Canis lupus familiaris: one gene and its partners. The protein of the gene in region 3 interacts with the protein of the main gene of each other region in a pairwise test. Links are inferred from orthologs where the notes say so. Each region holds a gene or a part of one and is shown on either strand. Other genes may lie near its edges.

Region 1 (4,519 bases), on a different chromosome or scaffold from region 3:
AAAGTCAGAATGTGGTATTAAAATTTGCTATCAACATACAAATAATTCACACGAGAAAGATTTATCTACTGTTGTTTGAACATATTTCATCCTAATAGGGTCTCTGTTAGGCTCTCATAATTATAAAATGTCTTGTAGAGCAGCATGCGATTATATAATACATATAATTTAGTTGTGAAAAAAAATGTAGTCTCATTAACATCCCAGAAAATAGTTCAGCATTTTAACTGGTTTCAATTATATTTAGGTATATTCATAATCACCTAAATTTATAATAAACAGAGTACATAGTAGACACTCAAATGTTTGTGAAATCAAATATAATCCACTGAAAAATTCCTACAAAGTTGATCTGTCACTTTAAATTGTTTATTTAAAAAATAATCACAAATTAAGTAATAAAATATATTTAGAATGAATAATATTTTATGAATGCAAACTATATAGATGGCCAAGGTATTAAGCTTCCCTGTTGATAAAACCCTGCTGACCTAGCCTTGCCTTTGGAGCAATGGTAAAAATGATACATAATTTATTTTTTGAGAATTTCAATAAAATATATTTATTAGTTAAAAACGAACACAATCTAATTTTTGCCACAACTATCTCTAAAGATTTAGTCACATTTAAAGATCTAGACCGGGAAAAATAAGGGACAGACACCTTGGATCTTTGTAGAGCAAATGCGCGATTAAGGCCTTTCACATTATCCTGATTGAAAAGCTTACACTAGGAAGGGGGGAAAAGCTTTTGCAACCAGGTTAAATGAACATAATTATAGAAGAAAATTCGCCTTTCACAGAAAATAATAGTAATACTGGAAATTGTTTTGAAAGAAAGTTCTTTCTTGAGTTATGACACAACTTCAGAGTCAGGATTATACATACTGAAAATAAACCTTGAGACTCCTGTTTGTGTATGTTTCATTATATAAATTAGGGTTAAGCCACAATAAATGGGTATTAGTATATTGATAAGTGTGCTTAATATAAACAAGATTGCAAAGTTGTATTAAAAATATCAAAACTTTTTGTCAGTCTTCCTGTTCATCAAAAGTCCTGTAAGATCTTATTCTGAACATGGGTTAAATTGCTCATTCTTAGTCAAATTTATATAATCTTTGGATTTTCAATAGGAAACTTTTCAATATATCAAATTTGTAGCATTGTTATCATCATCAAAGCTATTAAAAACTACTAGGTGGACAAAGAAAAAAATTCCTTATCCCATAGAATCTACGTGAAATAACAAGATTAAATAATTTAGTATTTATGCATAAATTTCCTTAATACTGAAATTTTTGCAAGGCCGGTATGTTCTGATTTAAAAATGTACAGACTGAACTTCGTCTGTTAATAGCGTATCTCCTGCTACTTTTAAGTCTAATTCTTGTAAGTAAAACAAAGCATTCTAAAACCTTCTCCCCAATGAATTTTCAAAAACAGCTTCAAGTGTTGCATTTCCGAATAAGAACGGTTTATAAGAACACTATTAGAACTTTGATAAAGCAACTATTTGAGACTACTTTGCCATTTTTCTGTTTCTAAGCCTTTCAACTAAGTTACATGATAATTAACATTCAGAGGAGGAAAAAAATTATCAGGTACAATACTTGGCAGCTGGACATGTTTCATTTCTTGCTTGTAAATCTAATTACTGAAAATTAGAACATACCACCGCATGACCTCAGAGACAAAAATACTACAAACTGAGCTCTGATTAGAAAATTCAACTTTTTATTCCTCCTCAATCCCGAACGGGTGGATGGTATTGCATTAACTGTGAAATGTACATCCTGTCCCTGTGCCCAGGCCACCTATTCCAAACGAGGAAAGGTCGTTTGTCAAAACTTGAAGCATTTGAAGGAAAAACACCCTCGCCAGGAGTCAAGAAAATTAACGTTAAAGCCAATTATTGGAGCAAAGCACGGAAACCACTAATAGCAGAGTATTTACTTCAAATAATAACTATAATAATGTGTTTACAGAGCTGTCTTAAAACACACACACACACAGACACACACACACACACCTCGGCGCTGCTTCGACTACTTTTAAATCCCCACCGTCACAAAAACATTCCAAAAATTAAGACCAAACCTGGAACCCATCTGATATCGAGGATGTCATTGAATTCGACGAGTTTGTTCAAAGTACGTCATTTTTGGGGACTCGGATCCACTTAAAGATATAAAATATGGCAACCAAGTAGGCTTAAAAAACAGTGAAATTCTGTACCCCTGAAAGCTTAAAAGCCGTTATTCCAGAAACCCGGGTCACGTAGGCAACATTGTTGACCTGTTTTCCCCACCTCTCTGGATACCAACCTGCAGCGCAGTCCTTCCAAATCCATTTTGTGCATTGACGTTTACATTATTTTGCAACAAACTAGTAAGTTGCTCTAGGTCCCCCCTGGCAGCTGCAGACGCCAACTCGTTCCCCCAAGGCTCGGCCATTCTTTAGGGTCCTGACGATCGGGAAAAGATGAATTAGTTGTTTTTCTTTTTCCCCTTTCCTTTTGCTCCTAACCAGGCTGCATGATGGCATCGGAGACTGACAGAAGGACTGGGATGGTTAATCTGGAGTAGAGCTTGGTAGTAAATACTAGTAAGATCTGCCTGCCAAAAGCCCGCCCCTCGGTTCACACGTGATTATTCAGCAAAACTGAGCCATTGGAGAGGGGCTCCGCTCCTCGCTCTTTAGCTTAACCCCTGTGAAGAATTCTGGTGACTCAACAGAAAGACACACAGACGTCTATACATTGCCGGCAAATTGCTCTGGACGTAAAATGCTGGCAGAGCTGTCACGTATCTACATACAGGTCTCCGCGAGTCCTGCGTGCGGGGACCTCGGCGGCTAGACCAGGGCGTAGAGCGCCGCGGCAGGAGGGGTTCGGGGGAGAGGAGGCATTAACCCACCCGTGCTCACGGCGGTGGCTGGAGCCGCGCGAGCCAGAACCGCGGGGGCAGGTCCTCGCAGGGCCCGGTCTCCATCCGTGTGCCGAAGGGTCGTGCTGCGCCCGCGGCGGGGAGGGCGCCCGCGGCGGGGAGGCCGGCGCGGAGGCAGACGCCGCTGGCAGTTCGTGGCCCTCAAGCTCTAGGTCCCAACGCTCCTGTGTGGCCTCGGCTGCTCGGGGGAGCCCCGACTCGCTCCGGGCGGCCCCGCCGGCTAACGCCGCGCGGGAGGGCTCCGCGGCCCGCCTGCCGCGCCGCCGCAGCCTCGCCGAGCCTCCCGGGCCGCGGGCGCCGGGCTGCGAGCGCGCCTCCGAGGACGGCCGGGCGCGCGGCGGGCCCCGGGCAGGTCGCTCATGCCGGCCCCCGCGGGTCCCGGGACCCCCGGCGGCGCGAGGAAGGGGGCGCGGGGCGGCCGTGCGGGCCCCGTCTACGCGGCCCGGGCTGCTGGGGCGGCGCGCCGCTGGCTTCCCGCCTACGACCGAGCCGGTCCAGACTTCCCACCGCAGCCTCTCCTCGAACCGCCGCCGCCGGCTCTTCCTTCCTTCCGCGGGTTTCGGGGGACCTCCGGAGGTCGGGAGCGGCCGGGGAAGCGCAGGCCAAGGTCCGGGGACCGGGGGCCGCCGCAACGCCCGAGAGCAGCGGGTCCTGCCCGCCCGTCGGCGACAGCCCCGCGGCTCCGGCCCCGCCGCCGCCCCGCCGCCCTCCGGCCGCCCACGGCCTGTGCCCCCGGCCCGTGCCCCCGGCCCGTGCCGCCGACGGGGCGCGGCCGCCAGCGAACTGTGCCCGCGGCCGAGCCGGGCACCGCCGCTCCCTCCGCAGCCGCAGCGCTCCCGCTGACAGTTTCTTTTGTAGCTGGTCCCCCAGATCGCCGGGCCCCGCTCTCTTCACCCCTGCAGACAACTTGCGCGTTGTCCTCTTTTCAGCTCTTTTCCTTCCCACCCGCCTTGGCTTCTTTTTTCGCTCAAACAATTGCTGCTTCTGTTGCCGCTGCGGAGACGGTGCCGGTTTCTTCTCTCTTTTTTCCGACCTCATCAGCTTTTTTTGAAAAGAAAAAAATTGAGCGCTTTTTGAGTTGAAAAACCCGCCCCCATTTTAACGGCAGAGTTTTAAGGAGGCTCGGCCGAGTTGCAGCGCCGCGGGAGCGGGAGGCCGGGCGCCGCCCACGCCCCGCCCCCTGCCCGGGAGGCGCTCGCGCTCGCGGCTCGCTGGCCCCGCCCCCGCCCCGCCCGCGCCCGCGCCCGCGCCCGCGCCCTTCCTCCCGCTGCCCCGCTCCCCGCCGCCCGCCCGTGCCCTTCCTCCCGCCCTCGCGCTCCCCGCCCCGCTCCCGGCTCCCGGCTCCCGCTCCCCGCTCCCCGCTTCCCCCGCCCCGCTCCCCGCTTCCCCCGCCCCGCTCCCCGCCCCGCTCCCCCCGCCCCGCCGGCCCCGCTGGAGCGGCGTTCTGCCCGGCCGAGCCGGGCTTGGCCTCCCTGAGGCCGGCTGGCGGGATGCAGTCGGCGACTCCAGACCTCGGACTCCCGGAGCCCGGCGGGGGCGGGCGGGGAGAGGGAGCTGGTTTAGGACGCGGGC
Region 2 (4,308 bases), on a different chromosome or scaffold from region 3:
ACTAGAGTCAAGCAGAACTATTTTCCAGGCTCGTGATAAGAATGTTCACTGAGGGGGGGGCGGCGGGGACTAACCCTACGCCTTGCCCGCAGCCGCGCCGCCGCGCCCTCTGCGCCCCCGCCCGCGCCCCCGCCGCCCCGTCGGGCCAGCCCGGCCTGATGGCGCAGATGGCGTCCACGGCAGCCGGGGTGGCGGTGGGCTCGGCTGTGGGGCATGTCGTGGGCAGCGCCCCGACCGGAGCCTTCAGCGGGGGCAGCTCGGAGCCCGCCCAGCCCGCCGCTCAGCAGGCCCCCACCCGCACTGGGCCCCAGCCCCTGCAGATGGGGCCCTGCGCCTAGAGGTCAGGCAGTTCCTGGACTGCTCCACCACTCAGAGTGACCTGTCCCTGTGTGAGGGCTTCGGCGAGGCCCTGAAGCAGTGCAAGTACGACCACGGTCTGAGCTCTCTGAGCCCCCTGCCCTGAAGAGACAGGTACGGACTGGTGCGGATCCCTGAGCCAACCCTGCACCCACCTTCACCCCTTCACCGACAGCCGGACCATGACCTCAGATTGTACCCATGTAGCTGGGATTGGGAATGAGGAGGGGGGTTTCTCACCCCACAGATGACCGGAGACGCAAATGTGCAATTAAAAGAGTTTATTTTAGACCATTAAAAAAAAAAAATGTTCACTGAGCGCAGGTGTAGCTTACCAGGGCTTTGCCCCGCACCCGCTGCGCACACAGCAAGTGCTTAATAACTGGTGGCTTCGAGGGGAGGATTAGAGATCCCCGTATATAGGTCGTTTCATGTTCTTGAGAAGGGGTCCGTGTAGGGGGCCCAAGTGGCTCGCGGGTCCAACGCAAGAGGGCACAGCGTCCCCGGGGCGGACGCGGCTCGCGTTGTTTTGTTTGGAGGGACGAGTGGCACGCGGCCAGGGAGGCGCTCGGCCCCTTTAAGAGTCGAGTGGAATGTATCAAAACAGAAAGGCCGCGTGCCCATTGGCCGCGCGCCGCACGTGACCTCACAGCTGATTTCCTGGCCCCCCTCCTTTTTTTGTTGCTGCCGCCGCCGCGGCCGCCGCCGAGTGTCAGTTTCTGCGCCGCCGCCTGCGGTCCCCCGGCCGTCCCGCGGCCCCCCCCCCCCCGCCGCCGCCGCCGCCGCCCCGCCGCGGGCCCGCGCACCTCTCCGCGCGTCCGGCCCCGCCGAGCCGGCTCGGCCCGAGGGTCCCGGCGGCCGCTGCCGGCGCTGCCCCGCGCGCAGATGGCGCACTCGGCGGCCGCCGTGCCGCTGGGCGCGCTGGAGCAGGGCTGCCCCATCCGCGTGGAGCACGACCGCCGGCGCCGCCAGTTCACCGTCCGGCTCAACGGTAACGCGGCGTCCGGCCCGCCCCCGCCTTTTGTCTGCGAGCGAGCGGGGCCCGCCGAGGCCGCCCCCTAGCTGGGGCGCGCGCCCTCGGCCCCGGGCCCGGGAGGGGCGTCGCGAGCGCGCGCCGCGGGGTGGCCTCCGCGGGGCCCCGCTCCGCTCCCGCTCCGCCCCGCGCTCCGGGAGCAGGCCACGCGCTGTGCCCGCGGGCGAGGCGGGGGCGCGGCCGGCTCGCGGGGCAGGGGTGGGGGGAGGGGGCCCCGGGGCAGGCAGAGGTCCAAGCAGGGCCGGCCCGGGTCCTCCGCCGCCAGCACCCAGCTTCAGGCCGCAGGGGACCCGCACCTGCTCCAGCGCCGCCGTGTCCCGGTGTTGGACACCCCCTGGGGGCTGTTGTGGGAGTCCTGGAGAGTGAGTCCACCGTGACCTCCTGCCTCTCCCTGGTGGCCACACGGCTTCTGGCCGCCCCTGGGAACTTTAGCTTTTCTGCACCCGGGTTGGGGGCATCTCCTGGGCAGACCTGGGGTGAGGGAGAGAGGGGTGTCTGCTTCACGGGGGGCGGGGGGGGGGGGTGCGATAGAGGGGAAGGTGTCACCATCGGTCCGTTGGCTCTGAGACTTTGGCCAAGTGACCTCCACTCTGTGTGCCCCGGTTTCTCCATCTCTACAATGGGAGTGACACCAGTGCACACCTGAGCCCTGGTTGGAGGGACAAAATGCTGTAATAATGAGAGTAAAGAAGCCTTAGAATAGCCCTGGCAGAGCAAGTGCTGCTCTACTGATGGTGGTTTTGAAAACCAGAAAGCAAAGTCTTCATTTCCTGTAAAGAAAGTTTCCACCACTTACTAGCCTGTGCCCCCTCCTGGCTAAGAGGTCTGAGGGGACAGAAAATAGAATGATAAGATCTAGGATCAGGAGCTCTCTATGCACCCCCTCTCTGCATTAATAACTTTTTCTTCCATCCCAGCTGGGCCCCCCTGCGGCAGTGTCCAAGCCAGAAGGGCCCTCAGAGGCCATTGTGCCCATTTCTGACAAGGGAAGACAGAGGCTCGGCGAAGGGAGAGGCTCGCCTAAGGTCAGGCAGTGAGTTAGGGCAGAGCTGGGATAGGATCCCCCCTAGTGTGAGCCCTGGAGCTGGGCTTATCCAGCCTGTACTTGCACGGGAAGTCAGGAGGGGCTGGGGCAGGGACAAGGACGGACCGCATCCCTGCTACAACATCCCCTTCATGTGGGCATTCTCACCCCACGTTACGGATGAGTAAACTGAGTTTTGAACGGTAGGGGAGGAGTGACCCCCCAAAGTGCCAGAGCTCAAGCCCAGGCCCGACTGACCAGGCACCGTGTTCTTTCCGTGTGGACGCAGGTTCTTCCACCACTGTGGTGCTCACTGTGGTCCAGGTGACCTTGACACTCCAGTTGGCCACTTGTGTGGAGGGTCCTTGTGGCTTTTCACAGCTTCTTTTCTGAGGTTCCAGGGAGGCCTGTGTTTCCCTAGGGGCTCAGGAGGTTCCTCTGTACAGTCAGAAAGTTTGGGGTTTTCCTTTTTGTTGCCAATCAGTCCAGCCAAAGGACACCCCTCCAGGATTGGCAATGGTCAAGGCTGGATGTGCCTAGCCGTTTTTCTAACCTTGTCTCCTGCCCTTCCCTGAATGGCTAACTCCATCATGGACTGGGGCTCCCCAGCCAAGCCCAGGGAGCAGTGGGAGGCCACCAGCTTCTGTCCAGCCTGGGAGGGGGGTCTGGCTGTGTATATGGGGAGTAGTAGGGTGAGAGCATCCATGTCTGGGCCTGGGCCTTTCCTCAGCTGCAGAGGGTAACGTCCTGCCATAGAGCCCCCCGAACAGCAGGGCAGGCCCTGGAGACTAGCTCAGGGTGCCTACCGAGGGAGGTGAATGCTCAGCCTGAGAGCCAGAGCAGCCTCTGGGGCCATCCCCCTGGCAGAGCTGTACCAATGAGTTTCTAGCGAGCTCCGCTTGTGGGCGATGGCAGAGGCTGAGCCACTGCATCCGAGTCCTTGCGTCCCGGGCGGGTTCTGGGCATGTGGCGGGGGGGGGGGGGGGGGGGGGGGGGGTGAGGGGAAACTGCTCTTCCTGTTTTATAGATGAGGATCCCTAGATACAGGGAAGTGACTGGCTTGCTCAGGGTCTTGTACTCAGAGGTGGGAGAACTGGGATCCCTCACACAGGCTGTTATTGAGTGCCTACTGTGTACCAAACATTGTTCTAGGTGCTGAGTACTGGTAGGCTGACAGTCTAGACGGGCAGTAGACAATATGTGAAGTGTCAAGTGTCCTAGAAGGCAAGGGCCTGGTTAGGCAAAGGCTGCTGCCTAGAATCCAGGGTCCAGGGGGGCCACTCTGGGAACGTGCCAGTTACTTAAAGACCTAAAGGAGGCAAGAAGGGAGAGCTCCATCAGACAGAGCACTCCAAGTGGAGGAGGCAGCAAGACCGAAGGCCCTGTATGTCATAGGTGGGGACACCAGGGCACATAGCCAGTAGGCATCTAAGGCAGCACTGAGCCCCTGTCCCTGGGAAGTCCCTCCTTGGCCTTAGCTCTGACCTCCCAGCCAGGGCTGAGTGTCCCACGTGTTGCAGGGAGGAAGGTCATCTGGGTCCTAGAATCCTGGTGCTTTCTGCATGCTCCCTGATCCCCAACCCTGGGGCAGGGTAAGCCCTGACTTCCAGTCCCAGCTCTGCCGAGTGACCTCAGGCCAGCCAGTCCTGACACCTCTGTGTCCCAAGCACTTACCTGTCCCTCCTAGGACACTTGCTACACCCTCCTGGACCTCAGAATCACCTTGAGATCATGAACTGTAACTAGTTTTGAGAACAGTTAAAGCTGCTCCACTAGTGAAGGCCCTGCCCTGAGTTTCTCCACTCTGGTACCCTCCACCCAGCCCCAACTCAGCCCCAAAGTCCCCGGGGAAGTTATCAGGAGAAGCAGTCACTGAGAAATTGTCTTCCCTGGC
Region 3 (4,074 bases):
TCAACAAGTGATGCTGGGAAACCTGGACAGCTACACATAAAAGAATAAAACTGGACCACTTTCTTACACCATACACAAAAACAAACTCAAGACAGTTTAAAAACCTAAGTGTGAGGGCAGCTGGGGTGGCTCAGCGGTTTAGCGCCACCTTCAGCCCAGGGCGTGATCCTGGGAGACCCAGGATCGAGTCCCACTTTAGGCTCCCTGCATGGAGCCTGCTTCTCCCTCTGCTTCTCTCTCTCTCTTTTTCTCTCTCTCTCTCTCTGGTGTTTCTCAAGAGTGAATAAAAAAAAACCTAAAAAAAAAGAAAACAAAAAAAACTAAAACAAAAACCTAAATGTGAGACCTGAAACCATAAAACTCTTAGAAGAAATCATAAGCAGTCATTTCCCTGACATTAGCCTTAGCAATATTTTTCTAGATAGGTCTTCTCAGGCAAGGTAAACAAAAGCAAAAATAAATTATTGAGACCACATCAAAATAAAAAAACTTTTGCACAGCAAAGAAAACCATCAACAAAATGAAAAAGGCAATCTACTGAATGGAAAAAGACATTTGCAATGATGAATCCAATAACAGGTTAACATCCAAAATATATAAAAGAACTTAGACAACTGACACTAAGGAAAAAAAAACAAAAACCTCAAATAATCCGATTTAAAGATGGGCAGAAGACCTGAACTAACATTTTTCCAAAGACATAAAGATGGCCAACAGATATGTGAAGAGATGCTCAATATCATTCATCATCAGGGAAATGCAAATCAAAACCACAATAAAGTATCATTCACACCTATCAGAAAGGCTGAAGTAAAAAAGACCAGAAATAACAAGTGTTGCTGAGGAGGGGAGAAAAAGGAACCCTCATCCATTGTTGATGGGAATACAAACTGGTACAGTCACTGTGGAAAACAGTATGGAGATTCCTCAAAAAATTAAAAATATGTATACCACATGACCTAATAATTCCACTACTAGGTATTTATGCAAGGAAAGTAAAAACACTAACATGAAAAGACATATGTACTTCTATGTCTACTGCAGCATTATTTACAACAGCCAAGCTAAGGAAGCAACCTAAATGCTCATCAATAAATGAATGGACAAAGATGCAGTAAACACACATAATGGAACATTTACTCTGCCACAAAAAAGCAGATCTTGCCATGGATGGACGAAGAGGGTTTTATGCTAAGTGAAATAAAAGTCAGAGAGAGAAAGACAAATACCATATGAGGAATTATATATGGAATCTAAAAAAACAAAAAGCAGGAGACCCATAAATACAGAGAACAGACGGTTGCCAGAGCGGAGGGAGAATGGGCAAAATAGGTGAAGGGGAGTTAGGAGACACTTCCAGAATGAATAAGTCATGAGGACAAAAGGTACAGCATAGGGAATATGGTTCATGGTATTTTAACAGCATTGTATGGTGACAGATTGGTGGCCACACCTAGTGAGCACTTGCTGAATCATTATGTTGTACACCTGAAACTAATGAAACATTATATGTCAACTACACTTTAATTAAAAAAAAAATAAAACAGAGATGCCTGGGTGACACAGTTAAGCATCCGACTCTGAGTTTCAACTCAGATCTTGATCTTAGGGTCATGATCTCAGGGTCATGAGATCAAGCCTCACTCCCAGCTCCCTGTGGTACAGTCTGCTTAGGATTGTCTCTCTCCCCCTCTGCCCCTCTCCACCCCTCTACACATGCCCATGCACTCTAAAATAAATAAATAAATCTTTAAAAATAATTAATCAAATAAAAATTTTAAGTCTTAAAGAAAATAATCAAAAAAGCAGTTTTGGAGTTGGATCAGAAGTCAAATCTCATCTCTACCATCCATTTTCTTTGGAAACTAACTCCCATGAGTTGTTGTGGACTAAGTTACCTATATTTCTGAATGTCAATTTTTTCACCTGTAATATAATGGGAATAATAATCCTACCACACAGCTAACATGTACTATACTTAATGTGTGCCAGTCACTGTGCCCTGTCACATGGATTATACTACCTTGATGAGTCAGGTTTTATTATTACTGCAGTTTTTACAGATGAGACTACCATGACACAGGGGTGTTAAATAACTTGTCAAAGTCATGCAGCGAATAGGACAGATGAATTTGAACCCAAGTCATTCAGAATCTACACTCATAACAACTATGCTCCACTCACTGCCTCTGCAGTAGGAATTCACATACTTAGGACATTCAGTATGTTGCTAGGCCCAACAAATGTTGTTTTTTTTTTTTTTTTTTTTAAAGATATTCATGATCCATGAGAGACACAGAGACACACACACACAAAGAAAGAGAGAGAGAGAGAGAGAGAGAGGCAGAGACATAGGCAAAGGGAGAACCAGGCTCCATGCAGGGAGCCCAACGTGGGACTTGATCCCGGGTCTCCAGGATCACGCCCCAAGCTGAAGGTAGGCACTAAACCGCTGAGCCACCCGGACTGCCCTATTCTGTTCCTTTCTTCTGTTCCCCAAGATACTGGGAAAAGCCAAAAGATAAGACACTGGCTACAAGACTCAAACTGTAGTGGATCACTATTTATCACCTCACTATAAAATATCACCAGTATTGTAAAATATAATATTTGCATTATAATTAGAGCAATAATAATTAACAGCTCTTTTCGTGGCCCATGGTAGGACTACATTTCATGCCCTGACTTGTACTGGCAGTGTGATTAATTCTGGACAAGAGTTGAACAGAAAACATTCCAGGCTAGAATGTTTAACTGATGTGTTTAAGACCCTCCGAAATGCCTCCTCTGCAACACTGATCAGCCTATGGTGAAGAGACTTCTGCTGACTTGAAATGAACACCAAATATGAGAGACATAAATCTTGTTTGAGCCAATGAGATAACCGAGCCCACCCTGATTGATAAAATAAACCATCCATCTTCTGTGAACTAATGTTTCCTGTCACTTATATTAATATAACCAAGAGCTATAACTTGGCCCATATACTACATAATACTACATTAGTAGGTACACTGGACAAATAAACAGTACATATTTACCTAAGGTCCTTCCTACCCCAAGAGCAAGGCGAACATGAGATAGTTTAAGGTGCCTTTTGATTCGATCAATCATGGTTGCCAAGGAAACAGATTCATCCAGTGTGCACAACCGTCCCATTCCAGTGTGTAGAAGCAGAGGCTGAAGAGAAACAGAAGTTAGAAAAACTGTCCATTTCAGTCCTAGAAAACAAACAGCAAATGCTGAGGACAATAAAATATGCACTGTGAGCTTACTATACCCAGTACCAGGCTAAAGTTTGGTTATGCAAAATGACAAAAACATTCTCTGATTTCTAGGAGCTCAGTGTTCTGTAAAGGCAAATGTTTAGTTAACTAACCACAATAAAAGTGCTTAAATACAAGAGAGGTACTATTTTATGGGAGCCAAAGCAATGACAAAATAAATGAGCTGGGAGTTCAGGTGGGAGTACTTGGAGGAAGTGGAATCAAAGGCTTTACGGACTTGTGTTTCCCAGACCAGAAAAAAGTTTAAAAAAAAAAAAAAAAAGAAAGGAGTGATGTCAGGTGCAGTGTGGTAGGAAAGGGATAGGTGAAATGTGTAAAGGCATGAGCTCAGACACTATAGCTGGTGTGCAGAGCAAGGGATGGGGACAGAAGCCATAGCTAGTCATGAAGGGCTTTGTACATTATGCTAAAAATCATGGGCTGTCTCTTGTAGGGGCTCACTAGCAAGACTACTCATGTCCCAGATGATGAAAGATCAGAATTTCAAGTACTATGGTGACAAAGCAAATAAAGAAGAGAAACAGTTCAGACTTGGGGACAAACTAAGCAGGGCTTGGATTTAGGAGAGGCAAAGCAGGTTGCAGAAACTTGGAAAGTAAGGTAGATGATGATGCCATCAATGAAATAGAAAAAATATGTAAAGGGTTGATGTAGGGGCACCTGAGTGGCTCAGTCAGTTAAGTGTCCAACTGTTGATTTTGGCTCGGGTAATAATCTCAGGGTGGAGCCTGCTGAAGATTCTTTCTCTCTCTCTGCCCCTCCTTCCAAACCCTGCTTTCACGGGTGC

Evidence for each region. The genes of interacting proteins can lie anywhere in the genome.
Region 1: the proteins of NIF3L1 (region 3) and CDKN2C interact in binary tests that used the Homo sapiens proteins (3 or more experiments, as listed by UniProt). The two-hybrid records come from large-scale screens. The link is inferred for Canis lupus familiaris from reciprocal best matches to the Homo sapiens genes NIF3L1 and CDKN2C.
Region 2: the proteins of NIF3L1 (region 3) and NATD1 interact in binary tests that used the Homo sapiens proteins (3 or more experiments, as listed by UniProt). The two-hybrid records come from large-scale screens. The link is inferred for Canis lupus familiaris from reciprocal best matches to the Homo sapiens genes NIF3L1 and NATD1.

Annotation. Positions count from the first base shown.
Region 1 is NC_049236.1:10,264,077-10,268,595, forward strand, and holds the start of CDKN2C (cyclin-dependent kinase 4 inhibitor C), read right to left. Parts: upstream 3,088-4,519; 5' UTR 2,918-3,087; intron 2,467-2,917; 5' UTR 2,456-2,466; coding exon 2,327-2,455; intron 1-2,326. UniProt on the Homo sapiens protein: Interacts strongly with CDK6, weakly with CDK4. Inhibits cell growth and proliferation with a correlated dependence on endogenous retinoblastoma protein RB.
Region 2 is NC_049226.1:42,920,762-42,925,069, reverse strand, and holds the start of NATD1 (protein NATD1), read left to right. Parts: upstream 1-1,221; 5' UTR 1,222-1,242; coding exon 1,243-1,348; intron 1,349-4,308.
Region 3 is NC_049258.1:9,947,699-9,951,772, reverse strand, and holds part of NIF3L1 (NIF3-like protein 1), read right to left. Parts: intron 3,181-4,074; coding exon 3,042-3,180; intron 1-3,041. UniProt on the Homo sapiens protein: May function as a transcriptional corepressor through its interaction with COPS2, negatively regulating the expression of genes involved in neuronal differentiation.